Linked DNA regions of Rhinolophus ferrumequinum. The protein of the gene in region 1 interacts with the protein of each later gene in a pairwise test. Links are inferred from orthologs where the notes say so. Each region holds a gene or a part of one and is shown on either strand. Other genes may lie near its edges.

What was found.
Region 2: the proteins of TNFAIP3 (region 1) and YWHAH interact in a two-hybrid assay, tested with the Homo sapiens proteins (2 studies listed by BioGRID). The link is inferred for Rhinolophus ferrumequinum from reciprocal best matches to the Homo sapiens genes TNFAIP3 and YWHAH.
Region 3: the proteins of TNFAIP3 (region 1) and TAX1BP1 interact in binary tests that used the Homo sapiens proteins (3 or more experiments, as listed by UniProt). The link is inferred for Rhinolophus ferrumequinum from reciprocal best matches to the Homo sapiens genes TNFAIP3 and TAX1BP1.
Region 4: the proteins of TNFAIP3 (region 1) and ARRDC3 interact in binary tests that used the Homo sapiens proteins (3 or more experiments, as listed by UniProt). The two-hybrid records come from large-scale screens. The link is inferred for Rhinolophus ferrumequinum from reciprocal best matches to the Homo sapiens genes TNFAIP3 and ARRDC3.

The regions. Positions count from the first base shown.
Region 1 is NC_046286.1:83,811,055-83,818,516, forward strand, and holds the start of TNFAIP3 (tumor necrosis factor alpha-induced protein 3), read left to right. Parts: upstream 1-4,459; 5' UTR 4,460-4,598; exon of another isoform or gene 4,599-4,638; intron 4,639-7,462. UniProt on the Homo sapiens protein: Ubiquitin-editing enzyme that contains both ubiquitin ligase and deubiquitinase activities.
Region 2 is NC_046308.1:20,743,608-20,751,060, reverse strand, and holds the start of YWHAH (14-3-3 protein eta), read right to left. Parts: upstream 3,009-7,453; 5' UTR 2,819-3,008; coding exon 2,732-2,818; intron 1-2,731. UniProt on the Homo sapiens protein: Adapter protein implicated in the regulation of a large spectrum of both general and specialized signaling pathways. Binds to a large number of partners, usually by recognition of a phosphoserine or phosphothreonine motif.
Region 3 is NC_046303.1:14,033,510-14,040,372, reverse strand, and holds the start of TAX1BP1 (tax1-binding protein 1), read left to right. Parts: upstream 1-3,857; 5' UTR 3,858-3,984; intron 3,985-6,863.
Region 4 is NC_046290.1:59,999,147-60,006,847, reverse strand, and holds the start of ARRDC3 (arrestin domain-containing protein 3), read left to right. Parts: upstream 1-4,701; 5' UTR 4,702-4,930; coding exon 4,931-5,210; intron 5,211-7,701. UniProt on the Homo sapiens protein: Adapter protein that plays a role in regulating cell-surface expression of adrenergic receptors and probably also other G protein-coupled receptors.

The DNA.
Region 1 (7,462 bases):
AATGAATACATTTGTATACTTATTCTCCTGTTAATCTGCCTGATGTGAGTCTATTTCGTAGACCTAGCTATTGAATCTAGGAGGGTAGAGGGAAAGTCTTTCCTCCCCTACACAGTGAAGAAAGAGGAATGTAATTACGTACATCAAAAAATGTAGGCGATTGACAGTGAGTCAAAGAAGGAGCGTGTGGTACATATAATATAATGAGGTTGTTTTCTCCACCTGCCACATTGTTATTAAATCCATGCTATGTCTCATAACCATGTATTCTCAGAATCGTGGAACTATAGCAGCTTATTCTCCAGCCTACTAATGTTTGTGCTTGGAATTTCTACCTTTAAACTCTAGGAAGATCTGGTTTCAATAGAAATGTTTCTCAAGAAATGTTAACACAATAATACATTGCAGTCTGTTTTTGAAAATGAATATAAATTTCCTTATTAGATTAGCCAGTCCCAGAAAACAGGCTTCTGAGAGAATGAAAGCTGAAATCCTTTTTTTGTGGAGATGGGAGGAAAAGAGGGCGAAGAGGCAGGATTATGGGCACCCCAAACTGGACTGAGAGAATTGAAGGACAAATGAAGAGACAGGGAGTGTGCATCAAAGGCAAATTTTCACAATGGCCTGCAATATTCCAGCTAGCAGGAACTAATTTATTCCTGTGAACACCCAGTTTACTGTTAAACCCAGCACTGCACACCAGTTGGTTCCTAATAACACCCATTTCAGATCTTTCATCATTGCTCATGTTTGGTCATTAATAGCAGTCTCCACAGAAAGAGAAATGAAACCAAGAATTGAATATTTATATTCATGACGTAAAATAAAATTACTTTGCCAAGTGTTTCAGCCAAGTGTTGACAGAAAATTAAGCCAGAATTCTTGGGGGCATGAATTTTCTGACAAGTTTTAGATTTCAGCATCCCGTGCTTTCAGGCCAAGTGGGATAATAGGAGCTGTACTTGGTGTTAAACCCACTTCCTCCCTTCCACTGGAGGGTCTTTGTTCCTGTTACTAGAGACTCATTGGCTTACTTCAGTTCAGTCATTTCCCCAAGCTGGGTCTTGGTTTCTCCATTCATCCCAGGTAATACCTGTAAATAATCTGAGGTCCCTAGATAAGTAGCATTTTAGGAGACTTTGGCATTCCTATGATGATAAAATCAACGACAATATTATCCAAGTTCTCCTCGTAGTTACAGCCCACAAAGAGCTTCTACTGTCTTCTCAGAGCTAACTCTTATAGCAGCCTTCAAAGTGCAAACATTACTCTTTAGTAATATCAAAGCTCAGCCAAAGGTCATTCAAATTTGAAGCAGGATCTTAAGGACCATGTAATAACTAAACTGTCACACTTACATAAGGGCTGTTTCAAAATATGCTTAACAAGGATCTTCCTTTTCACCAGAGCACAATGCTGGGAAAGGGGAACAATTGTACCATGGACACAAAATGTTCGATTTTATTTTGACCTACGACCGCCATGCCCTGAAAGTCCATACACTCTCAGAAATACCTATGGCTATTTCTTGATTTCAAGGCTCATGAACTGTGGTTTGAGCTGAGCTAGATTTGGATCACCTTTCTAATGGCCATATCTGTCTCTTTTCAACCCGATTTCTCCTGCCTCCCACTTTCTTGGGGTGCCCATTTTCTTCATTACGTGGTACAAGCATACAGGCTCAGGCACAGGCCCACAGACTAATTCTAAGAGGTCACGTATGCTCACTGTATGCAGTTCACGATGTGCGAATGCTGTCACCATGGTGAAAATGGCACACATCTCAGGAAAGCTCCAAAATACTCCACACACACAACCTGATTTCCTCTTCCCTCTAATGAGACACTTTTTTTTTTTCTCCCATGTGTCTGCTAGGTGTTAATGAATATTCCTTCCTCTTTGCAGAGTTCTGTTCATTTTGATAAGATCTATTACAGAAAGTAAATTCCCTTACAGGCTTTTGGGTACTCTGTATCTCTTTGGCTTCAATTGAATCGGCAAATCTCCCCACATTTTGTATCTCCTTTCTCTTAAGGAGTCTCTTCTACACTCTCCTCTTCCACTCTTTCCTTCTGATTCACCACTAAGAAAATTCTTATTGGTCTTGCCCATGTGTTAAGTACCAGAAAGGGAAAAGTGTAGGGCCTGAGTCCTGATTTAGAAGGTGGAAAGGACAGTAAAAACTAGAGAAGAACAGAACGAAGTATGCCTCCTCAGAGAGACCATCACTCCAATAGTAGAATTACGGGAAATTGGGGTAGAGCAAAATTGAGGGCTCTAGACTACTCCTGCACCTCACTGCTATTACTTTGTCATGAATCCTGATAGGCAAGGTGGCGTAGCATCTACCTCAGGACAATAGAGAGCGGCAGATATGGGCCTGGTCTTTCAGGCTCGTCACTCTGGCTATTGCATTCCTAGCTCATCAAGTCAGGGAGCAGACGGCAACCAGAAAAAGGAGGCTACAGGAGGAGGTGAGCGACCAGAGCCAAGAGATGAAAGACAGCACAAGAGGAGAGCAGTCTGAGGATTAAGGATGACCTCATCTCTTAGCACCTTAAGGAGCCCGGCAAAGTTTCCTGAGGAAGGAATCAAGGCCTGTCTGGCTTCCAAACCCACATTCTGCTGCTGCCCAGGGTCCACGTTTGGCTAAGTGACAAGTGACCCTTGTGTTGTGAGGTTGGTGGCCAGGATAAAAATGGGGGCCCTGAGACTCAACCTCGAAGGATCCTTTCTGAGAGTAATGCTTTAATAGTTAAGACTTAACAGTATGGACTTGGGAGTAAGACAGGCCCAGTGCCAGTTGCGGCTCTGCCACTTACTGATTGTGTAGACTTTGGGCAAATGGCTCAAGCTTCTTTAACGTCAATTTCTAAAGCTGCAAAGTGGAGTTGTTGTGAGGTGTAAATGGCAGAATGTCTTTCAAACGCCTCGTCTAAAGATTGACATATAGTAAGGACCTGACAAACATGATGATGATGATGATACTACCAGCTTGACAATCCATTGTTTTGAGTGTTGGCAGCTAAAAACATTTGTGAACCACGAAGAGAGCAAATACCAGAAGATTTGGATTCGAAATACATTCCAGCCCTCAGTTTCACGTGACCAGCACCAGCTTTGACCATTACCGAGGCTCTGCTCTAAGTCTCCCTTTGCCAAAACATTTGCTCCACCCAGCCCCATTCCCAGTCTCTGCAGGTCCTTACTGGAGAAAGGAGCAGGTTTTTCGAATTCGAATAGTAGGAAACGCGCCTGTCCAGTATGCTGAAGTCTATAAGGGGACAACCGTACAGAATATTTCAATCTAGTTCTAGTCTAGCCATTCTGGGAAATGGGCCAACAGGGTGGTAAAAGGGCCTCATATCCCTCCCTCACGCACTTCCACTGCCCAGGTGGCTCACACCTGTTTCCACGGACACGCTCTGGATTCAGACAATGGGTTATCACACTATTTAATAAGGGAGGGGAGGGGGAGTAATTACACCCCCCCCCCGCGCCTTGGAGGTGATTATCAGGACATCTAAAAAGACTCCTACTACGGTTTTAGGGGGACATGGCAGGGACAGTAATGGACTAGAAGTGAAAAGCTACCTGAATGTGATGCCACCTGGACACCTGGTGTGTAGCAATGGACAAGGTTAAATCAATCAAGTGCGGGATGGGGTTGGCTGGTAGTTGTTCAGATTCCTAATTTTATCCAAAACCTGCCTGGTTCCTGCGAATTTTAAGGCTGCAGGGCCAGGAGGTCTGTCACCTCAGACTTGCATCCCATCAGCCTGGGGTCCCTGGCTGACAGGGACGCAGGTGGGTAAGGGAGCAAGACCGTGACTGCTCCTTTTTCTCGAAATCCCCGCGGGGGCCTAGAGTCTCGCGCTCCCCTACGAATTCATCACGTGCACAGCCCAAGCTGTTCAAACCGGCCGGAGGCCTGAGGTCCCGGACACCGGGGTGGTTTTTAGGGTTTTCTTTTTTTATTTTTCCCTTGTTCTCCACAATTGCTTTTCTGAAGAACGACTACTGAGAAAAAACCTCCTTCGTTTACAGTTCCCATAATCGCGATTTCCACATGGATGTGACGTTGGGTTCAGCTTCCGAAATGCCCAGGTGACTCACGCGGGGACACCCCGGGGCGGGGCGCAGGAGTTTCTCCGGCGGCAGGCGGGGCGGGGCGGGGCGGGGCGGCGCGGCGCGGGATGCACGGCGCCGCTCTGCGGCCGGATCGGGGCGCCGCTGCGAGCCGGCCCGCGACACTGCAGGTCACGTGACCCGCCGAGTGGAAAGTCCCTGGGTTTCGGAAATCCCCGGCTGGCCTGGCCGCGGCGGTAAAACAGAAAGGGAAAAAAGAGAACTGGCAGTCTACAGCCTGCGCGGCGGGCCGAGTGCTGAGTGCTCAGAGCCCGCGGGGGCGGAGCGGCGAGAGAGGCCGCGGGAGACCTGCGGCGGCGGCGGCGGCGGCGGCAGCGGGCGCGCTCCACACCCCCGGCCGGCCCAGCCAGCCAGCGAGTCCGGAGCCCGGGCGTCCATGGGGCGCCGCTTCCACCCGGCTCCCACCTCGACCACAACCGCTGCCTGCGGCGTTCGCCTGTGCTGACCTGGTACTTGGGACTTCGAGAGAGGATCGGGCGGCCGGGAGAGGTAACCGCTGCATCCCGGTGCAGACGGTCCGGGGCTCCTCGGGGCACGGGCAACGGATGCGCTTTTGGCGGTGATTTGCGGGCTGGACCCGCCGACTTGGCATTGGTTTTGCAGCGGTCCTGGAGGGCAGTTTGTTGGCCGTGTATGCTCATTGTGTAGGTTTTGAAATGCTGGGACTTGAGGTTGCCGCGCCAGATGTTCAGGTGACAGCCCTGGATTCCTCCAGCCAGCTATTCCTTTCAGATTATGCAGAGAACTTACACTGCAGCTGACTGGTGGAGAGTCGCCCCCGCGGCCGCTCAGTCGGGTGCTCGTTGGTGTTCTGCTCCTTTTCGTGTCTTTTTTGGAACCAAGAGCTGCAAGCTCATAGCCACGTAGACCTTGCAGAATGCTGTGGTTTCTTCCCAGATTGTGCACGACCAGTGCAACGGCGGTGTGTCTCGGGCAACAAATCCCGGCGGGGTTGGGGGCTCAGTCAGCTAACCTTTCCAGGGACAGCTTGCAGACACTGCAAAGAGTCCTGTGCAGGGGTTGGCTGGGGAGTCAGGGCAGGAGGTTCGTAGTTTTCAGTTGCAGCAGTGTAACAGAAGTGTGCACGTAGAAGTGAGTCGTTGGCCTGCCTTTTGGGGGCTCCAGTGTAGAGCGGTCTGCACGCCCCTGCCCCAGCCCCTACCTCACAGGCAGACAGTCTTTGTCAGCCCGGGTCGTCCCACATCCTGCCACCTGGCCTCTCAGGAAAGCAGTGGTATTAAGTAAGGAAGGAGCTCAGCTCTCTTGGAGACGGCTTTGTTTTCAGTTCTCCGTGCCTCTGATCTTTCCCTGGAAAGCCGGTCTGGTCAAGTGTCTCAAGGCAGCCTTTTGGGAGAACCCTTGTTATTAAAGAGTCTTCTGGACCACAGCCCTCATGGCCCAGGTTATGAGCATCCAGTCTCGGCTCCATTCTCATTGTCGAAGGTGCTTCTTTCATTCTTGCAATTCTCTGTACAATTTTTGAACATTTTCCAAAAATTCCGTGAGGTATTTGTTGATAAAAAGTTAGTGAGGTAACAGAAACTTAAAAGTGAAGGGCTGTCTTGTATGCCGTTGCCTATAAGGACATCGCAATCACAGGTCAGTCAAATTTATTCTTGAATCTTAAGTGTGGAGAAATCTAAGTCAGCGGTACTTCGGACAGTGGGTTTTGATTTCTTTTAAGGAGGCAATTCTGCGGGCAGTGCGAGGCTAAACCTGTGAATGAGATGACACCGGGCTATTGAATATTGACCATCTCATGTCTTGCATATGGTTTACAGCTCTCACTATTTGAAAGAACTTTAGGTGCAGAAGAAAATAATAGAAGAGTCAGAAAAGCAAAACTCCTGCACCTAGCTTGTTTAAAATCTTCCTATTGCCTGTCCTTTTCCATCTGGAAAAGCAGGCATTGCAACCACAGGTATGGTGCTGTGAGAATAGCAAGGGGCAGGTGTTGGAAGTCCTGGCTTCAAGGCAAAGCTCTGCTGGAGAGTGTGGGACCGGAGCATGACCTGTACTTCTGTAACCTGAGCTGCAGACTAAGATGCTTGGCTGACTTCAAGTTGGGGAGTAAGGAAGGTTGTCTTGGATTTTTAGCCCCCGAGTCAAGCACAACCTTCAATAGATGGCCAGACAGTGCTTGTTAAGTGACGGATGGACACATGGATGACATCATAAGAGAGACTTTTGCTATGCCACAAAGGGGAAGTATGTGTGATATTTTTGTCCCTTCATTGTGTTTGTGGTCCTGCTATAATTTGGCCTAATTCTACCTGCAGGCAATGGTTGACATCAAAGGAGAGATTAATATCTTACCCAGAGCATGACTTCTCCAGACCTGCTCTGGCAATCAGATTAGGGATCCTGACCCAAAGCTACTACCAGAAAATTCCTCAGGAACATTCTTGGGGTCATCTAGTCCAGTCCAGCTCTCGCCGTTGAGTGGGCCACAAGAATCCAGATCACCTTATCAATGGTTTTAAGAGAACCTAGACCCACTCAGGAGTGGCTTCCTTAATATCTAGGTTTCTTCTCTCATTTATATTGGTTTAACTTCTTTTTCAACTAGAGGCTTGGCCCTGGCAAATAGCATGATGCAGGAAACTTCTAGGGAGTATCTTCATGCTCTGAAACCATCTTTATCTTGGAAATTAGGATGTCTGGCGAGGCACCCTGCTAATGGCCAGTGGATGAGAGAGCTGGCTCTCCACACAGCTCCCCACTGCAAGGAGCCCACGTTACGTCCGTTCACATCATTCCACACTGTTGGCAAGGGTTGTGGATGCTGGTTTTGTCCCCCTCCTCTTTTATGTGTCCCTTGCTGAAATTTCTTTCCTCTTTTGTTTCCAGACTTTCATTTCCTTCCACCAGTTGATTATGTTTGAAGATTTCAGGGTGAAGACAGGGTGGGAAATATATCTGAGTATTGGTACCAAGCATGATGAAATTTGGTTGGCAGTTGCGTTGAAGTAATTGAGCTCCAATGTCTGCTCTTGGAAGTGTAGTAATTGTTCTATTACTGTTATTATTCTATTTCTTATTCTGATGTTGTAAAATTCAGTGGAGAGGTTCGAAAACTGCTGATTGTTTGCTCTTAAAATTGCAAAGCATCTTGCTGGAAATAGGCTTTTGCGTTGGTTATAAAACATTCAGTTATAACTTTATAAATAATATGATACATTTTATAAATAAACGCTTTATAAATATTTCTCTTTGGGGCTAACGAGGAAACTCGAATCAAATGCCTGTGGGACAGCATAAAATTGCAGGATTTTTCACAAAATATTTACTGTCTTTCCAGTACAGGGTTATT
Region 2 (7,453 bases), on another chromosome or scaffold:
GATGGAAGGCAACACCCGTTTGTAATACGCAAGATTTTTCTTAAAGCTTACCGACACCATCCTCCAGGTGACGCTGGTAGCATAAGAAACATCAGTCATTACAGGCAGGCAATATTAGGTGACCATTTACATTATAAGGGAAAAGGAAAACAGGTTAGAAGAATGAAGACTGAAAACTTATAGTTAACACCAACATTACTAGTTTTACACTTCATAGGACCCAAAGCCAAGAGGTAAATTTCAAGGTCAAAGAGGTGGCATCAGAACGTCCCCTCACTCAGGTGCACTGTTCTGTCCTCCCGAGAGCAGTCTACTTACCTGCCCTGAAGAAAACCCACATAAACCCACTGGGTTACTAGAATTCAGACAGACCCTTTCCAAAAGCTCTTCTTAAGGCCTGTGATATTAATAAAATGGAGACTGAGTCTTTTCAACAGCATTCAGAGTTTAACATACAAACATCAACTTAATGGGTTAAAAAAAAAATAAACTTTCCCATTGACCTTTGCCACGTCCTTTCCAATAAATATATTCCATTAATTTAAATGACAAAAAAATTAATAGAACAGATATATTGAAAGTTATTTGATAGGAATTACCTTCATAAAATGGTTTATCACAATTCTGAGATGACATTAGAGCTTGGATTGAATTTTCAATGCTGGATGGCTTATCCAACCCATCAATCATTTCAGATACAGGTATCACAGATTTGCAACACATGGAGGGGTCCATTAGTTTGCAAAATGTCACCTTAAACGTCTCAGAGAAAAACTGTGGAGCCAGGTAGGAAGCTGTAGGAAAGCATTTTTCAAGCCTGCTTACGAAGACCAGAAAGCCAATTTTTTCTCTTTCCAAACTAGATTCTGTTCTGGTTACATCTCTCCATTCTTCCCTTACCTTCCATTTCAAGTTGCCTCAGAATAGCTTGAGAGCCTCTAAGCTCCAGAACATACCTACTAGTCATTTTTCCTTAACCTCCATTGACCTTCTGTCAAGCCCCATGCCTTATTTCCCAAAAGGTTCCTAATGCTCACAGGGTGAGCAAGGGCCTTTCTAAAAAGGTCCAGAAAGGTCTCTGGCTGCATAATCCCAGTACAGGTCACTGGGGAGAAGAGGCTCACTTAGGTATGACTTGCTATGTGGACATTAGCGGCTTTATCTCAAAGAAATTAAAGCTCTGGGACCTTTCCAAAGAAACAAATTCACACATTCAGTCCTGTTTCTGTAAAATTTCCAAAATTAATATATTTTACATTTTTTTTCTTATATAAGGTCCCCAGAATTACAAAGACTTCAGCCCCAAACCCAGATTGTCCCTGGTTCAGATGAAAAGCTCCTATATAATCTATGACATCATGTCATGTCACCACTGAATCAACAAATGGGCCCCGGTGGTGGTGGTTTCAGAACACACCTAGTTCAAGTGTAACAAGGACACCACAGGAAACACAACTCTTCAAGCATGTTTCTTACCTGGATAATCCTAAATACTGACATCAACATACTTCACATATTAATGTAAAAAGCCTTAATAGGAGCTTTTCAAATGATTCTGACATTTTTATGGTGCCTCTGGATTTGCAGGTTTTTCTCTAAGAAATTCCCTCACAAAGCCAGCGAAAGGGCAAATGAGCTATAAACCAGGCAAGTAGCTCTCGAACTTCCCGCTAAAATTTGCCACGAGAGCTAGTTAAAGTGCAGATTTCGGAATCCCACCCCCAGAGTTTCAGAATCTTTATGTCTAAGGTGGGGCCCAGGCCCATCATCCTCCCAAGTCTCAGAAGGTTGTACACGGGATGAACATAGCACGGTGGTGGCGGCAGTTGTAGTTCTACCACTGTGTGACCTTGACGCAGAAATAAGTAATGTTCATTTAGAGAAAACGTAAAATAAGGTTAAGAGACAGGGAAAGTGAGAGAATAACCGGAACTGTAAGTCTTAGAAATGCAGGTGGTATCTAATCCAAGGAATTTGTTAGGGTGTGGCTGGCCACCGACTCCTTCGCCGAGAATCAAACTGCAGAACCGATGTGTGAGGGTCTCGGGAATGCAAAGGCACACTGGCTCTTCTCGCTTAAAAGTCACGTCTCATTTTTAATCACCAGGCAGATGGGCACAGCATCAAACCTGGGAGTGGGGCCCCACGCCCGCCGCCCTCCCACCCGAATCCACGCCTAGACTGCAGGATGGGGGTCTTCGCACACAAAGCCTGACCCCCGGGCATAGTAAAATGGGACGAGCACGATTCGGGCGAGCACGGTAAAACAGACTGGAATTACAGACTTCAGGTCGTGGCAACGAAAACCAGGAGACAGGGCGCCACTCATTAGGTGATTCTTTAATACAAGTTGGGATGTGGAGGAAGGCGAGAAGCCCCCAAGACTGGAAGAACGCTCTAGGAGGAAGAATGCGGCTGCTTCACGTTTCCTCGGGCACCCCATCCGCCGCACGCAGGGCTCGGAGCTAGCATGTGGCGACCCCCACCCGCCAGTCCCCGCGGGGCCGCACGCGCGACCCTGAGCGGCTCCCTCCCCAGAGACCCCGGCCGTGCCAGGCTGCAGGAAATGGCCGGACGCCCAGCGGGCGCGGGAAGTGCGGGCTGCAGCCTGGCGGCCGCGCCCAGCGGGCTCGCGGGGTCGCCCCGGGCCTGGAGGGAGACGACGCCCGGCTTCCCATCCCTCCCCTACGCCGGGCCCCCGGCCGGCTGCCCGCGCTCCCGGCGCGCTCACCGCCTTCATGGCGGAGGCCATGTCGTCGTAGCGCTCCGCCTGCTCGGCCAGCCGCGCCCGCTGCAGCAGCTGCTCCCGGTCCCCCATGTCGCTCGTGGCTCGGCCTCGCCTCGCGCCCTGCTCGTTCGCTCGCCCGCCCGCCCTCCCGTCCGCGCCCCGGTCGCCGCGGAGGCCGCCGCCGCGCACGCGCACTGGCTCGCCGGCCGGCCGTAGGCTCAGGCAGCAGGCAGCGCAGCCGCTCGCGCCCTCTCTCTGGCTCGCCGCGTGCGCTGTGGCTGCCGCCGCGGACGCCGCGAAAGGAGGAGAGGCGGGCGCGCGTGGGGGATGGGCGGACTGGAGGACGCCTGCGCAGTGCGAGGGGCTCGGCCGGGCAGCCGGGAGCGGCGGGAGTGGGAGGGGGGAGGGCGGGTCGGCCCTAACGGTCTATTTCAAGGTGACGTCACCTACTATAAATAGCTGTCGCCGCCGCCCCGCCCCAGAGCCGCGCAGGCGCCCTGCGGGTGCTGCATTTTACCGCCGCATAGGTGGAGGTGGGAGAGAGAAGCGTGGGGTGGGTACTGCGGGCCAGAGGAGGGGGCGCGGTGATGGCGGCTGCGCAGGCGGCGCATTGGCACAGCCCCACCCTGAAAAGCGCCTCTGAATCCGGGTTAGAGGTCTGGCTTGAGAAGGGCCCAAAAAGCAAATAAACCTAGTGCTTGGAGAATCCGGGAGGCTGCGTGCCCAGAGGGGCGGGTTGAACCCGCCCTGCGGTCTCGCCCGCCCCGAGCCCCGCTCCCCCCTCGGATGGGCTCCGCTGGGCCACGCCCTGCACTTGGGTGTGCACCGGCCCGGGCAAGATCGGGTCCGGGACTTTGAGGACAGACCTCCCCACCCCCCGCCCCCCATACACACACATTCGCTCCTGCCCCATCCTGATAAGTGGCCGTTGGGCATACTGTGCTTTCCCTGAGAGGAAGGACTGGGTGGCCCTGCTGGGACGAGTAACTCAGGCACACCTACTAGGAGCCGGCCCAGTGCTATGCCTTTACAGGTATAATACTATTTAATCCTCACAACCCACCCCGCAGGTGGGCACAGCTGGTCTCCCCATTTTTCAAAGCCAGGTTAGTGACTTGCTCAAGGTTACACAGCCTGTAAGTGGTGGGGCCAGGATTTGAGTTCAAACCCAGGATAGACTTGCTGTGGCAGAAAGGGGGATGGACCGCCTGGCTGGTCACTAAGCCCATCCCAGTCCTGGCATTCGATGTTGAGGGTATTTTGTGCCAAGCCCTGGGTTGGGGCAGGGACAAGCTAGGAAAATCCTAGTGGCTAAAACAGGCTCTGACTTAAATTCAGCAAGTCAGGGGCAGCACGGGACAAGGGGCCTTAGGCTCTCTGAGAATTTTGTTGAGTGCCTACTGCATGCTCAGCACTGCGGGTAGGAGTAGGTACAGAATAAGTAAGACACAACCCTTTCCCCCTCCCACTCCCACTGATCCCCGGTGCCCCGCCAGCCACTCCCACTGCCTCAGAAGCTGAGATCTAAATACACAAGAGCAGGTAAGCTGGACCTTGAGGGAGATGACAGTCAGGGAAAAGGTACTAGGGATTGGGGTTCAGTATGGGCAAAGGCTTGTCAGTGAGGATAGAAACCAAATGGTAAGAGAGGCCCGGCAGTGGGAAATGAGGTTGGGTCAAACAAGATTATGGAGTGTTTTAAATGACAGACTGAAGAGCTGAGGCATTGTCCTTAGGTAATGGGGAACCACCAGAGGTGTGGAAGCCATTATTTCAGGAATCTTGCTCTGGTGAGTAAGATGCATTAGAAAGGAGAAGGGAGAAACTGGAGAGTGGAATTTTTCTGGACCTTAGTTTTACCATCTGGAAATTGGACTTGAAGGACTGTTAAAGCACTGTAGAATAGAAATCCTGGAATGTAAAAACCGGCAGGACCCTTAGAAGTAACCGCTGTCCAACTCATTATCCTGCATAAGGGGAAACAGATCTAAGCGGGAGGAGAGGCTGGCCCCAGTTTGCACAGCGAGTGAGCAGAGCAGAGGCATCCAAACCACGTCTCCTGCCGGCCCGGCATTTTTCTTCCCACTGTGATGCTAAAATGAGGACCCATGAAACAGGATTTGAGCTAGGTCTGGGGGGAGGCCTCCACCCCAGGTTTCACTATGCTTTGAAGAGTCACCTTTGCACCTGAAACAATAAACAGCATAGAAGAAAACATAGGTACTAATCTTATGGACCGTGGGTTCAAAGAGCATTTTATGAATTTAACTCCAAAGGCAAGGGAAGTAAAAGCTAAAATAAATGAATGGGACTATGTCAAACTTAAAAGCTTCTGCACAGCAAAAGAAACCATCAAAAAATAAAGAGGCAACCAACTGAATGGGAGATTTTTGCAAACAGCATCTCCGATAAGGGGCTAATATCCAAAATATACAAGGAACTCATACAACTCAACAATAAAAAAATACAACCCAATTGAAAAATGGGCAGAGGAACTGAAGGGACATTTCTCCAGAGGACATACAAATGGCAAGTAGACATATGAAAAAATGCTCAACATCACTAATCAGCAGAGAAATGCAAATAAAAACCACAATGAGATATCACCTCACCCCAGTCAGAATGGCTGTCATCAACAAGACAAATAGTAACAAGTGTTGGAGAGGCTGTGGAGAAAAAGGAACCCTCATACACTGTTGGTGGGAATGCAAATTTGTGCAGCCGCTGTGGAAGACAGTGTCGAGTTTCCTCAAAAAATTACAAATAGAATTACCATTTGACCCAGCAATCCCTCTCCTGGGTATCTTCCAAAAAAATCTGAAAACTTTTATCCATAAAGACATGTGTGCTCCAATGTTCATTGCAGCTTTATTTACGGTGGCCAAGACATGGAAACAACCAAAATGTCCTTTGATAGATAAGTGGATAAAGAAGTTGTGGTATATATACACAATGGAATGCTATTCAGTGGTAAAAAAAGATGATATAGGAACATTTGTGACAAGATGGATGGATCTTGAGATTATAATGCTAAGCGAAATAAGTCAGACAGAAAAAGTAGAGAACCATATAATTTCACTGATATGTGGTGTATAAAACTGAAAACAACAAAAGAACAAGACAAACAAATGGAGGAACAAAAACTCATAGACATAGACAATAGTTTAGTGGTTACCAGCGGGTAATGGGGGAAGGGGATTCTAGCGGAGGGTAAACAGAGTCTAATATATGGTGCTGGAAGGAGAACTGACTCCGGGTAGTGAACACACAATGTGATTTATAGATGATGTATTACAGAATTGTACACCTGAAATCTATGTAACTTCACTAACAATTGTCACCCCAATAAACTTTAATTAAAAAAAAAGTCATCTTTGCTAACTACAAATGGAATCAAGGTTTACAAACCAGGCTGATGTTTCCCCTAGTGAATATTTTTAAAGAGTCTGACAGATAATAACTGTTCCCCACCAACCCTGCCCTCCATGAGGATAGGGTTCCAGCGAGAGGTGGGAAGAAGGCCGGTGCTGGGGGTTAACTCTTAGAGGGGTTAGAGCCCTTCCAGCTTTTCTGATAATGTTGGACTAAGGTTGATGTCAAAACAGTAAAAATTAGGTCGACTGGAACATTCTAATTAAATTCAATTCTAATTGATTTCCTTTCTTTCCTTCTCACCACGCTTCACTGTCTCCACTTCCTCACCTCCCACCACCCTTCAGCCCAGTGTACTCTGGCTCTGCCCCAACTCCTCCACTTGGAGGGCCCTCACTGTGGCCACCAGTGGCCTCCTGTTGTCAAATCCAAGGTCATTCATAGTCCTCACCTTCCTGGCTCTCTTAGTTTAATGACCCTGCACTCTACTGGCTTCCCTCTGCTGCTCTGGCCACTCTTCTTCGGTCTCCTATGTGGGCTTGTCTTCTCAGCCTACCCTGAAATGCTGGGGTTCCTCAGGGCTCTGCCGCGGGCCCTCTTCTCACTCTGGGTGACCTCATCCACACCCACTCTTAGACGAAAGGAACATCTACCACATTCCCAGCACTGAGCAAGAAGATTTGCAGAAATGAGGTGTTTTTTCCCTCAAGATACCCTCATAGAGTAGGTACCGTTTCCATTCCCATTTCACAGATGAAACGGGCTTGAAAATGTTCCATGACTTGAATAAAGTCACGCAGCTGGTCATCAGTAGAGCCAGGATTTCATCTCGGGTCTGTCAGACTCCCAAGCCTGATGGCCCCATGCTGCCCTGTGGTGTTAACTGAGAAGGGGTCAAGGGGTGACTCTTCTTGGGGGTGGTGGTCATTCACACTGTGAAAAGCACACACAAGCCTCCCCTCTTGTAGCCGACACACTTCTAGCAGCACCCATCTTCACTCTTGGGAGAGAGCTGCCAACTCTCCAAAGCTTCTTAAATAAATACCAGGACAACCACCTTGGACAGGTCACCTACCCCCAGGCTTCTAAGTCCCCCCAAGAGACATGGTCTTTGAACAACTCCAAGGAGAACCCCTGAGCCAGGTGAAGGGGGCTAATGGTTAAGGTGAAACATGCTCTGTGGCCCCAAAGCTCAGAGCAGGCCCCCAGCGCCAGGGCCAGGTCGGTTGTGTCCTCAGGTCTCACTCGGGGAATAGAGCAAACTCCCCTGGCTACCTGAGGACATGTGTGTGGTGTGATGAGGGGGAAGGATCTGGACTTGGGTTCGAATCCTGCTCTGCCAGTTACCAGTTG
Region 3 (6,863 bases), on another chromosome or scaffold:
CTGGCGGCTGGGTTGGAGACACAGGAACCAGGAGCAACACAATTCTCAACCCTCACTGTGCTGCTTGCAGACTCAGCCACCATCTTCTTGCTAGCTCCCCCTTTTTTTGCTAGCGTAACCACAGCAGTTATATTCATGGCTAATGGCTCACTGGTTACAGCTGACGGCCAACTAGCCACAGCTGATGGCCATTTGATCACAGTCGATGGCCATTTACTACCTGAGCCAGCACCTTTCTATGTGAGGCCGAGAGCCTGGAAACTGCTTTTTGGGGCTCTGTCCCCACAAGTATGTTAAACCATCTTCCAACATACGGTAAGAGAAAACAAACAACCTTATTTTAGAGTGTTTTGCATCCTCTATCCAAAACCTACCATTATTCAGATCCCATCTTTAAAAGCTCTCTTTTTTAAACAATTGTGTACAGCTGTATTATTTTTAAAAGAAATAATCATTTCTAGCAAAGGGACTCTTTAACATAAACTCTAAGGAAAACCAATGTTCCAAAAGATGAGAACAGTCTGTTTTGCCTGCTTTCAACACGTGTAATATTTCTATAACATGCCTCTTTGAACTTACTGTTTTCTAATTTTCACCCCATGTTGTACCACCTGATTGTCTCATTTGTGCTCTTTTAATTTTTCTCTCTACATAAGCCCTTTCTTTACATTTTCAGATCCTTTAAATCTTTCAAATTTAGAGTCCAGTTTCTTTAACAAAGTTACACTAATTCCAAAATTATTATTTGTCAGTCTTTCTTTCTATTTCTAAGTCCATTTCCTACAAACTTAACACTTCACTTACCATCTTATAATAACTAGATTTAAAGCAGCTTCAGAAAAGAAACCATGGTTTATTCTGTTTTCCCTAGAGACCTAGGATAACCCAGAGCACACAGTAAGTGCCGGAAGAGCCCTTATCAAGAAGCAGCATGACATGGTGGAAAATGCGTAAACTGTGGGAGTCATAGATGTGAGTTCAGGTCTGGTTTGCCCTTTTTGTGACCGTGGTGTTAAAAAGAAAAACCACAGGCCCAAAACGGCATCACTGATGCTAAAAGCCCATGATACCAAACCTAGAGTTAACACCTATGTAATGTAATTGTAGTTTCAGTCACTCCCAGGAGTAGAGTTTTAAACCAATCATTCTGAAATTGCCTGATCCACACTAGTGAGGTAATCTGTCTGATAAGACCTCTGGTCTTCCCCTAAGGGAATGTGTCCTTACCTGAAATAACCCACTCTTACCTCCTTAGTCCCACCATATTTCTGCCTATAAAAACCTTCCATTTGTATAACCCCTCGGAGCGCCCTTCTTGCTAACTGAAATGCTGCCCAATTCATAAGTCACTTAATAACGCCAATTAGATCTCCTAATTTACTCAGCTCAATTTTGTTTTTTAACGAATGAGCAAGTTATTTAGCTTTTCTGAACCCACAGTCCCCTGCAAAATGGGGATAATACCTCACAGTATCTAGCAGAATGCCCAGAAAACACTGTGTACTCCACAAAGGGGAATTATTATTTTTTTGACAGTTTTCTCCCTACTTGACCCCTTTGCCCAAGCTTTTACACCCTGACTCGAACTCTTCCATCTCTTCATTAAAACCCTACTAACTTTAAGAGTCTAGGTGTACCTCCTCCAAGAAAAGTAGACTGCTCACACAAGCCTGTACTGAGTCCTCCCATCTCTGAAAATCTTATTTTATACTTTATTTTTATACTATATTTTATACTTTAGTTATTTATATTTTCATGGATTCATTGATTTCCTTCCCTTTGCTATCATAAGTTCTTCTAATAGAGGAACAGTCTTTTAGACGTTTTCCTAATCAAAATACAGGGTAAGTGGTCCGTGATAGGTTAGGACAACTTCCTAGAAACTCCTTGGAATTGTAATTACTCCAGAAATATCATAGGATGCTGAGAGATTTACCTTCTAATAATTCTTTGAACTGGTCTGTGATCGCTTATTCACAATTTTGAAATCCAAAAAGCTTTGAAAATCAAAATTGTTTTAACATTTGGTGGCAAAGCCTATCCTGACCTGAACTCATTTGTCAGTAAAACGTGACCTGAACTCATGGTGGCCAAGTAGCAAAACTTGATCTGAAATGAAGCAAGAATATGTGTTTTATTACTCCTACTGAGTAGTGTGATATTCATATTTTTTTCATGAAAAAAAATGTTAACTTGATTAGGGAGTGCTGCCTCAAACCACATAGGATGTCATGTAACCAAGTATACTTTTCTAAAGTCTGAAAAATTCAGAATCCTCAAATCCATCTGGCCCCAAAGTTTCCTATAAGGAATTATGGATCCATATGTTATATAGCCTTAGTATGCCGCTATACATATAATAGGCTAATTTAAAAAAAATTCAATTAAATACCAAAACGATATATATTTATGTTGCTAGGAGAAACATTAAAAATTCAAGGGATTATGATTCATAGGATTAAAGCAAGTTCAAGTTCAAGTTCCTAAATAAGTAACTTCATGAGGGAAAAGAAGGTCTAAAAATTCAAGAAATTATTAAAAATAACAAAATAAAAATACTTGCGTAAAAAATGTTTTCCCATTATCACGTTTTTATCAAGCATAGTTTTTCTGATTTCATTAACTGAAAATTGTAATTAGAAATTTATTACATGTAAATAAGTAATGTGATTAAAAAATAGTGACATCTCTTAAAATTGTGTTTATAAAGTACACTGCTATATTTATATTTAAATGACAGATATTTCCACTACTAGGAGGTTGCTACCAGTAACACCAATTATTGATGCTATCACAGTTTTCTTCATCTGTAACATAAGGAAGTTGGGACTAAATGACCTAAATTTCAGATTCTTCTGAAATTCTATAATCAAGTAGGATATACAGAACAGGACCAAGTTCAAAGATTTCAATATATAGGAAATAAATCAGTCAGCATGTATTGAGGATCTGTGTTATTGAAAGTATTGTAATCTTAATTGTGTATAAGTGAAGTTGAAATTATATGAAAGAGGATTTTGTAGTTCTGTATTTACACAGTGCTTACCGTTTAATGGGATCTAAGTATCCTTTCTTCACTGGTGATACTGCAAATTTTAGCAGGGTTTTATGGCAACCCAGGAATATGACTAGAACAGAACACTCTTGCTTCTGTGGAGTTGGGATTGAAACTGAATGCTTAATACAGGAAGTAAGATATAATAGTCAAAAGTAATTTTAGAAATTATAATTGAACAGAGAAAACAGGACAAAATTCACACAAAATAACACAGATAACAAAAGCAGTTAACAACTCATAGAAATAAGGGCAGAAAGAGGCCAATGCTGGAGCAAGAGGAAATAGGATCATAGCGCATTAGAACTGACAAACTCCTAGGTTACCCAGATTTTACAGCGAACAAAACCTTGTAAACAAGAACAGGACAGGACCAGGACTTGGGGAGAGAGCCTCGGGCGTAGGGTTTGCAGCCCTGGCCGTGTGGTCGCTCCTTCAATTCTACGGTTCTCGGTAACATGAAAAGATTCGCTTAAGATCCACGCAATGACATGCTAATAGTCCATGTACCTCTCGGCTACCCTTTCCACTTAACTGGAAAGTTACTTAATAATTAAAAAGTCAAAAATGCAAATCCAAACTGACCCTGTGCAACCAGGTCTCTGAGCGAAAACGACAAGGCCGAAGAAAGACCCAGCTGGCTGGGTCGAGGGAAAAAGCCGGCTCGGACCCGTTAGGGTAAACCTGGTGGCCGGGGGCCACAGAAGGGGGGGCGGCGGCCTTAGCCGGGAGGCGGTGTTTCAGTGCCTGCGGAAGGGGCGGCCCCGTGGGCGGAAGTGACGTGTGCCGGCTTTTGGGCCTAAGGGGGCGGGCCGTATAGCCGGTCGCTGGAGGGAGGCACCGGTGGCGGAAAAGGTTCGGCTGCTGATGGCGGCTTAGGCTCGGAAACCTCTCTAAGGCTCCCCCTCTGACCGGGAGCTCCTCACTGGGTAAGTGCTTTCCCCGGCCCAGTGCCGTGTGCCGGGCGGACCGCGGCTGGAGCTCTTTCGGAGCTCGTGAGACGCCCCCCAGCCCCTAGAGTCCAGGGGCCTTGCCGGTCTCGGGAACGGTCTCCGTGGTGACGATGCAGCCGAATGACGACGCTTTCGCTGCGGAGGACAAGCCTTTCCTCCCGGACCGTGATTGTGACGGGGATGTGGGCAACTTCGGTTCGCAGTGGAGTTGGAAAAAGCCACGGGTGGCCGCTCCACACGGCGGGGAGGCCCCGGGGTAGGCCTTCGCGATTTGGGGGAGGCGTGTGGGACGTGGGCTCTTTGGCGGGGGGCGAGTGACGCGGGGGACCCTCCAAAGAAGAAACGGTCTCGCCCGAGGCTCAACTCTGGGGTGAGTGTCTCGAGGGTAGAGGGGGCTGCCGGCGTCGTAAGCTTGGGTAGACATCTAGGTCGAGCCCAAAAAGGACGCTCGGGCTTGCGTATGCGGAGTGAAACCCAAGTGTTTTGGTTTGAGTCGCCCGTGGAGAAGGAGGCGGAGACTCGCTGCGCCACCTACATGTTGGCGGGCCGCGGGCGGAGTTAGCTGTTCTGGCCTGGTCTCCTATCTCACCTGGGACGCGGACTGACTTTCCGCTTTTCTTGGTCTGTTTATGCACGACTGCTACGCCGAGTTCCCAGGGATCTTAACAGATCTTACCCGGCGAGTCACTTCTTTGCTTAGGCAACTTTTCTGGATTTCACAACTCTTCCCTCCCCCCAACCCGACACCCTGCAGGTCCGCCGTGTGTGGACAAGTCCCGACGTGGCGTTCCTCGCTTCAGAGGATCTTGGTTAAAGAGTGTGTGTGTGTGTGTATGTATGTATGTATGTATGTGTGTATATATGTATTGATAAACGTTAATTTATTGGTAATAGTTTTTTTTGAAAACACTGGCGTTTGACTTTCTCCATTAGGTTTTAGGTTTCACTAGTAGTTGTTATTAATTACCATTATGTCAGGGATATAGATGGAAAAATAAGTCTTAATATTTCAACTCTCTGCATTCCGCTAATTGCAAAATGTCTACACACCGTGCACGAACAATAACTAATGATCATTTTGGGGCTCAATTACAAAATTACTTAAAGATTATTTGACTAAGCTGTTACTCTAAAAGTGGGCTAATTGCCCTCAAAGTGCTAGTATAGAAGGGCCGAAGCCTGGCTTTCCTTCTGTTCTCGGCGAGGATAGACTTGATTTGTCTTAGGATTACTTGCTCACGTTAGACATGACTTCTTTCAGCTTCAGAAAACATCGTATTGTAGTTTTTGTTTTCTAGTTATCACATTCTTAAATTGCACACCTCTGTTTACAATCATGCTGCAGCCATTTGTTGTAGAATTAACTAGTAAATACCTCTTTCCTTAACAAAATAGCAGGTATTTTGGAATTCTAAGTTTCAGCCTTTTAAATGGTGCTAAATATTTTTGAAAGATCCTCAGGAAGCTTTTCTATACTTTTATGGGGGAATTATCTTATGTGAAGTTTATTGGATTGTATTTTTTTGGAATTTGGATACTTCTAAGTAACATTTTGGCCGTATGCAGTTCTGGCTTCTTAAAATTTATTTTATTCCTTGCAAACCCTCCTATGGGCCAAGATCATAGCTTTTTAGGAACCAACTTTTAAAACAATCTAAAAAGTAAAAAGTGGTATTAGTGACACTTGGGCAGAGTGTAGTGCTACTCAACTGTAAAGAGTTCTGGAGATAGATTTCTGTAAGAGTGCAAATAACAGTTAGGTGGCTTTGCTTCTGCCTAGCAGAAAGATTGCTAATAGCATTTTTCTGGTCTATAAACCAGCTGATAGTCTTTGTTTGAGTTAAAGTATGAGTGATTGGAAACTAGAACGTCAGAATAGTTTTCCCTTCAGATATTTGTGTGTCCTATAGGACTGGTTTGGAGATAATTATAAAAGTTCATATATTTTTGAAGATTTAAAAAACTTCTGATAAGTTTGTCAACCATTACTTGTAATGTGTTTTTATTACTAATCTTCATTTGCTCTGGTTTTACTAACTTTTATTATGGAAATTTTCAAACATACACAAGAGGAGAACAAACAGTAAAAGGAACCACTGTTTTTGCCACTTGTTTTATTATCCCCTCTAACATTTATTTTTTTCCTCGAGTTTTTAACTAGATAATCAGGATATTTCACTCATAATTAGTTTAGCATGTTGATTGATAAGGACTTTGGAAAAAACACAATCACCACAATTATATTATCACACAGAACAAAATTACTTCTTGAATTCTAATTGTTAGAACTGGCAAATTATATAAAACATTTATTTAAATTAAAAAGCTTAATTTGATTTTGTATGTTTAATGCATAGAAGTTTTTAGTATGGTCTGTTTTTTTACTTTAGTTGACTAAGGCTTACATTTTTGGGCTATTCAGGTAAAAATATCAGGAGCTACTGAAAAAATACTATCACAAAAGCCAGATCTGTTTTGGGCTTGAAAAAGTTTTAAAAAAGTAAAGATAATATTGAAATGCCTTTTTCCCATCCAGATTTTTTTAGCTAGTTAACTGAGTGCCCACTGCATACTATTTATCTTTAAATATCGATGAATCCCCAAATAACAAAATTGGATTTTAGATCAAAGACTTTATAGTATAAGGTTTACACAACCTAACATGTATAAAGCAACTCGAGACATGTTAGAACTTCAGGGAATATATTAGGAAACATGGAAGAGGGCACTGCAGGCAGCATGTATATGCATTTCGGGCTTTGTTTCCCAGCCTAATGTGTCTGGTCCTTTTAATTCTTGACCGGAAAATTTTTATTTAGCCTCGGCTTACATCTTAATGTACCCATGTTTCTGGA
Region 4 (7,701 bases), on another chromosome or scaffold:
AAAACCAACTGCTGATTATCCAAATGTGAATTTACTAGGTCATAGATTAAAAATGTGAATTTAAGGTTTAGCTTTCACCTAACCCATTTCTTGACCCCAAAACAAAAGTTCATTTGAAACCTTAGATTTCTGGAGGCAGAGAGTGCTCAGCAAACTTTTACATTTAAATTGTCCCTCCTCCTTATAACTTTTCCACAACAAACAGTTCCTTCATCATAACTACTTCTTCAGTGTGGTAGCAAATAAAATCCCCAACAATAGGAAATACAGGAACATGTAAACTGAGCTGATCATATATGGGTGAGAAGCAATAATTCTCTCTCACAATTTTTAAGTTATGGTAACATAAGGATAATAATTAACAACAGTAAATAAAACTAACCTTAGGAGGCAGATCCTTGAAAAATGCTTCCATTAAACAGCATTGAGAAGGCAGTAGCTGTAAATAACAAGTTTAGGTCTTAAAATCATTTATAATAAATTTCTCTTCAACAACAGAAAAAATGTAGATGATTGGAAGAACAACATTCTCCAAGCAAGATATGAAATATGAAACTCCATTTAGCCAAATATGAATTTGATATAAAAAACTGAGAACTGGTTCCTTTCAATTATACTTTGCCACTAGAACTCAATATCATCAGGAAAATATTAGTTATTATACTTATAATGTTTTTACCCTCGTTACATAAAATTACATGAAATTGGGCTACGTCAAGTCATAAAAATAGTTCAGAAAAGAAATTTAGCATTTCTGATTCTTTTTGCAGGCCCGATATGACTTGAGCCTGGATAAATAAACTGCCAATTCATCTAATTTAGCAGGCCCTGTGGGTTACAAATCCATTCAAGAGACTGTCCCTTAGAGGCACTAATCAGATATATTGTCAAAGAAGTCTACACGATTAAGAAGCATTGCCATAGTTTAACTGACAAGGCTCTTCCTAGTTGTACTTCTAGATGGAAATGTACCAAAAAGTTAATAGTGGGGTATATCTCTGGGTGGATAGAATTATGAATAATTTTATTCTAAATCAAGAAACCAAACATAAAAGATTAAAGACATTCACATTTCACACTATTTCTTAATGAGCAAGAAGAGAAACCAAATTTGGTATTGAATTTTCTCACAAAAATCCAGAATACATTTTAATGTCTATTAAGTATGAAGAATGCAATGAACGTACCATATAATTAACTATCAAATATAAAAAACAAATCTTACTCATTTTGCTAACACTATAGCAAATCTTACCTCGTCTCCACACCAAAGTCAAATTCGTTGCATTTTGAAGAAGTTAAATTCTTAAGTCAATTACAAAATCTTGAAATACAGAATACCGAAAAATAAACAAACCAGAGAAACTTCCGTAACTTCTATGGTACTCAAGGTGTTAGTTAAAATAAGAAGTAAGCACGGATTTCACATTTTTTTTGAAACAGGTTATGACTGCTAATATGGTTTTTCTTATAACCACATATCAAAACTTTCAGTTGACATGGCTGCCTTTTTTTATATAACAATATTGAATATTTTGATATATTAATAAGTAATGAACTAACTCCAGATGTGGCAATAATTTTGACATATTACTGCCTCAATATTATACACCTTGAGATTGAGTTCTTGAGATTGAGTTTGAACCTTTATACAGTAAGGTGGAACAGCACTGAATTAAAAATCCAAGGAAAAAAAGTATTATAAAGAAGAAGAGTCCTATTTATTTAAGCTCCAAAGAAGCTATAGAAAGGGGAGGAGGCGCTAGTTTTTCTGTCTAGTTGATTTTATTCAGTGTGCCAACTGAATCTGGTAAAGGGGTTAGAAGAAGGGAAAGAAGATAATACAGCAGTGGGGTGTTGTTCTGAGCACAGAAAGCAGAATGTAACTGCACATTGGCAAGAGAGAAAAAAGTTACCAAAGACAAGCTAACATCTCCTGTCAAGAAGATGTACTTAACAGTAGTATAGAGAGTTAGCAGATGAGTAGGAAGTGGCATTTGAGATGTAGGCTGAGATGCGGTAGGAAAGAGCCTTGGTGGTAAACATGAATAGCTTAAATATAATGCAAAATACAGTAAGGGCCCTGTGAAGCAAGTCCAGAAGCCCAAGATAATGAATGGCTACAGTACAGCTTTTCAAACTAACAGGTTGATATTTAGATAAGGAGTCTTTAAAGGGGAGGTTATAAAAATCACAAGAGAAAACATTCAAAATTTAGTTGCTTTTTTCTTCTTTTAGAAATAAAAACATAAGATAGATTTAGAGACACCAGAGTTGTTTGTTGTTTGTTTCTGGTGTTTTCATAATTTGAATAAATAGGAGGAGGAAAACAAAATGAAGCAAACTCAAGGTTAGGCACTTAAGAAATAGTCGTGTGACCAAATCCAAAGAGAAGAAAGATGACAATTAAGGTAGGTGAGTAGGATCTTAAAAATGATATGGGATAAGAAATTCTTGGCAACTTGTCAGTTTTAAAGTGTTTAGAAAGACACAGTAAAAAGAAAATAAGGAGAAATAGAAAAATAAATCATAAAGACAATGATTTATTATATCTTAAAAGTTTCAGAAAGAATAATGTAATATAGTGATAGGAATGAATCATTTAATGTGCTAAAACGATTTTCCAAACTACAAGTAAATCTCTTAGAATTATTTGTGGTTAAATGCAAGTCTAGTTTATTTAAACAGCTGATTCTTGTTTCTTCAGAAATAAGTTACATTTCAACTGGAGAAATTTTACTAAACATTCTGAAGAATTCAGCTATTCATCACTAACCCTTAATAATTAAAACAAATTTAATAATGAAAGTTTATTGTGTACTGCACTTTTAAATTTATTCCTTGCCCAGTGTTACTTGAATGTTTAATAACTTGTATTAGATCTTAAGGCTGAAAAGCTGACATCTTAGCAAATTCACTACTTTTACCACTAGGTGGCGAAAAAAAACAAGTAGTATCTGTTATCAAAGCTAGTACAAGGTCCCAAGTACTTGAACAACTAGAATTTCCACCAGGTGTCAACCAAGAGGGAAAAAAGGAGACTATTTCCCCCACTGAAATACACAAATTAAGTTCTAAGCCTAACCATCTCAACTCTATCAGAGATAAACGGCCTGACATTAACTGTACAAATAGTTTACATATTTATATCCCCATAGAAGGTTGTTGAGTCCAATATATTGTCAACTAAACTCCAACTAAATAAAATTTTGTTTCCTCCAAATAAGTAAGAAAACAGCAAGCTCAATGAATTTAGTTTATTGTGAATCATAGGGTCAAGTTATCCAAATATATGCACAAGAGTGCAAAACGTTTTAGACATGAACAGCCCAAACTCTTCCAAAGTATATTTGGTTATGTATAGATAGCTCCAGATTCATATATTATTTTTGTTTCTCTTACAGGCAGCTGATTGTAAAGAATCTAGGTAAATTTATGTTGTTATGCTTTTAATCCCAGTGTCATTTTATAAAAAGCATTGCCATTTGTTACCAAAATAGTCACAATAAAGAGACAAATGTTATCTGTCTTTAAGATGTACCGAGTATTACGTTGAGAAAGTCCAAGGCTGAAAATTAAAGCTTTACAGAATTAAGTCCTACTTATATTGCAAATCGTTTTTTAAATACCATCTTATGTGCTTCACTAATTTCTAACAAAGATTTGCCGATCTTGTTGTAAACATTATGTCTGCTAAAACACTATGTCATACTACCTTTTATAAGGTGGTACTTTTTTAAGGCCGAACTCTATTCTTAATCCTCGGGACACAGGAGTTATAATCATGTCATACCCTGCAACTCCAGCTGTAGGTGGTGTCTTAAAAAAACTTTTTCTTCCTTCGAGGAAGTGGTCAAGCCCTTCTTCACCCTGGTGTCATCATGCAAACAACTTGGTTGTTTTTCACTGCTATCTAATTAAGAGATGGAAGAGAAAGAAGTTGAGGAAAAAGCAAAAACCTACTGATTAAATTATACTTGCTTCTCTTCCTTGCTCCTTACAGTATTCTCTTTTAAGGTTCCTTTGGCCTCGACTGAGTTCATTTCCACCCTGCCTACAAAGCAGTGGCTTTTCAAAAAAAGAAAATCTAAGCCAAGAATGCTCTTGTCTAAGAATATTATTCCTTGTCTGGTTTTATTACGTTTTCTTTTGAAATTCGTTAGATTATACTCTGCAACCAGCCGCTTGCCCAACCGGTTTCTCCCCTTCCCCCATCGCTCTTCAATCATCACTTTTTCCTACTCCCAGCCAGGCGGTAGTCAAAACCCTGCCGTGCCTGTAACGCATGCTTGGGGCTGGTCACTCAGCAGTTCATCCTTACTTGGCTTTACCAACAACTCCCCACCCAACCCTTCTTCCCTAGTGACCCCCTCTGCCATTATCTTTAAATAGAGTGTGCTCAGTAACAGGCTCCAGATAGCACTTCGAGGGTTTACGGTAGCCTGCCTGCCTGCCTGCCTACCAATAGGAGCCCACAATGAAGGGAAGTCAGGTTCAGCCTCCCAGCAGCCCCAATGTCTTCTTCCCCAAGCTGTACACCTACTGTATGAGCAGTCGAGCAAGCGAACGAACAAGCGAACTAGCGAGCGAGGCGCGGGAGGGGGCGCACCAGAAGGGCGGGCAACAGCCGCGGCGTGCGCATGCGCACCGGGGTTGTTTTTCACAAAGCTGCTCTTAAAGTGAGCTGGCAGCCTCCAGCCGCCCGTCTTTGTAAGGAGACCACTGAGACTAGCAGAAGCGCGGAGCAGCAGCTTCTAGCTGCCCTGACTTTTTAAGAAATCTCAATGAACTATTTGTAAGGAATCACTGATCTTGCCTGCAAGCTTTTTGCACGGCAAAGACATCGATCAGTGTTAAGTGAAGATCACATTTTATATGTGATCTTGACTTTTTTGTCTTACATTATATTTTTATAGATTTTGTTATAAACATGGTGCTGGGAAAGGTGAAGAGTTTGACAATAAGCTTTGACTGTCTTAATGACAGCAATGTCCCTGTGTATTCTAGTGGGGATACAGTCTCAGGAAGGGTGAATTTAGAAGTTACTGGGGAAATCAGAGTAAAATCGCTTAAAATTCATGCAAGAGGACATGCGAAAGTACGCTGGACCGAATCTAGAAACGCCGGCTCCAACACTGCCTATACACAGAATTACACTGAAGAAGTAGAATATTTCAACCATAAAGACATCTTAATTGGACACGAAAGAGGTAAGTTTTTATATTACTCAAATCATTAAACCTGTTTTCTTTGGGAAAGTACCTTTTCAATTTTTCTGAATTAATATAATTTTACTCCTAGCATAACACACAGCAGTTTGATAAAGATTAGCAAAGTTGGAAGATTTGGATTCTCCTTGACATTCATCGTGTGTTAAGTCGTAATGCATGCAGGCATCTGCAAAGTGACTGCAAACTGCACTTATTCAACTACCTCTATACCCAGCTTGGTGTGTGCCATACGCATTTGCAATCCATGTGCACCTTACACATTCTGCTTAAATCCAATTCAATAATTTTACTAATATATTTTCAACTGAATTGCTAAAAGCTGCATGCAGTCCAATATGAGATTTTGTCCTTGTACTCTGCAACCTTAGATCTTAACAACTAAGCTTCAATGAAGAAATGGAATAACATTTTTAAGTGGGTTAATAGGTGGATTTCATTTTTAATATTGACACGCACAAGACTTCAAAGAATTGATCATTGTTCTTTGATAAAGGGTTTCTGTGGCTTATTTTGACATATGGTATCAACACCCCACGTGTTTTTTCCCCCTATTCTTTCCAGTTCCTTTAGAAATTATATCAGACATTCTCTATTTTAAAGGACAGTATTTGTCGTTATGATAGGTTTTAAATCAGTTTTAGAAGCCATTTAGGATCAGTAATTTTTTTTTTCCGAGCATCATGCCTAACTTTGGAACGTGCATTCAATGAAACCCCTGCAAGTCAAATGAAATTGAAAAGTATTCGGCACATTGGATTTGATTTTTGATTAGAAAAGGGAGATAAAGGGTTGTCAAAGGGAGAAAAGGTCCTGAGGTTTCCAATCGATTGTTTAAATCGTTACATTGTGGAAATATAGGAGACTCTAAGCTTGTTTTTCTAAGTTTCCACCCTTTGTTAGAAGCGGTTCAATCCTGTTTCGGACCAGTTCTGGGGGGTGGTGAGGAGGGGCGCTTATTCAGCTCTCAGCAGATTGGTTACACGCGTCAGGTGGTGGCGATGACTTAATTCCTAGACCAAGAAGAATATAATGTTAAAACTGGTTATGTAATTTTGTACTTCTCCTTTTTAATGCAGTATTTAGTTCAAATGTTGACTATTTTTGAAAGAGTAGAGCACATTTTTACCTTTATTTGTAATATTAAAAAACATGCCGGAGGAAATGCTAATTAAACTAAGCCAAGTGTAGATATGAAGGATGCTTTCAGTTACAGCATTAATGTACTATTTTTAAAAATATTAAGATGAAATCAATTCTTTAGTTAGGTATGCAGTTACACATAGGTAATTTGCATCCTGAAATAATTTCTAGTTAATGTTTCCAAGCAGTAATGCTGGTAAGAAATGCATGCCTAATGACAGTCCTGGTATATGCAGAAAAGCAAATACATGAGTTTGTGTTTGAACCTTTCTGGACATTGCAGCTTTCTATAAAATGGTTGAGAACAAACAAAGGTTTTTTTAAGGAGTTGAGGCTTGCAATGGGGTAAAAGTAGAATAACGATTTATGGGGGGAAAAAACAGTTTCATGAGTTACTCCATGGTTTTATTACGTGGGATTATGTGCCCCGTACCCCCACTAGATGCCCCACAATTCCTGAAAACGTGGACGAGCTCCTAGCCTGGAATAGTTTCAATGACTTAAAATTGGGACCTCTCAAACTAGCCTGGTAACTGAGACCCCGCCCCAGGTGACCGGCGATAGGCGGAGCCGGGTTTGTTAGCCTGTTGCTAAGGCGATGCCAGGCTCTGATTGGATTGGGCGCCGGCGGGTGGGGAGAGCGCAGGCCGGGGCGAGGCTTGGAACCGGCGTGCGCCGGTAAAGGTCCCTCCAGAGCGGTCGACCCCGCCCTACTGGCATGCCACGGCTTCTGGAGGTGTCCAGGGCCCCTGTCACACACATCACGTTCTGTCGCCCCCTCACCTCGACTTGTTTGGCCCCCGAAAAAAACGACTTCGGGTGTCAACGGAGTAGAGGGGAGAAACTCCTGCTGGCCTTACAGGTGCCGAATGGCCCTGGGCGCAACTTCAGCTGACAGTCCTATTCTGAGGGAACTTGCATGTGCCTGGTTCGCAGGACCCCATTTTAGTATTTTTCGGATAGAAAGTGTCAGGTGGCTTCTGTTAACGCTTGTTTTCCTCTTAGCTGAAACAAAGCGTGTTTCGCGACCAATGTAGTCACCAGACCGGCTACCTTAATTTGGTCTGAGGGGAGAAAGCAAAGGCTGGCGGGGAGGAGGAGGAAAAGTGGTAGTAACATGGAAAGCAGGGTAGGAACCTGGACTAGTATTCCTTGCCCCCTCATTGTTTGCCGGAACCTTTCCTCCCCTCCCCCAATCCCTCACCGCCCCAGTTTCCTTCACCGCAACTGTAAAGGTGTCAGGGTGGCCCGAGCCAGATCGAACCGGTCACCAGCTGAGGCGTATAAAGCGGAAGCGCCGCGGCACGGTCGCCCCGCCCTCCGTTCAGCA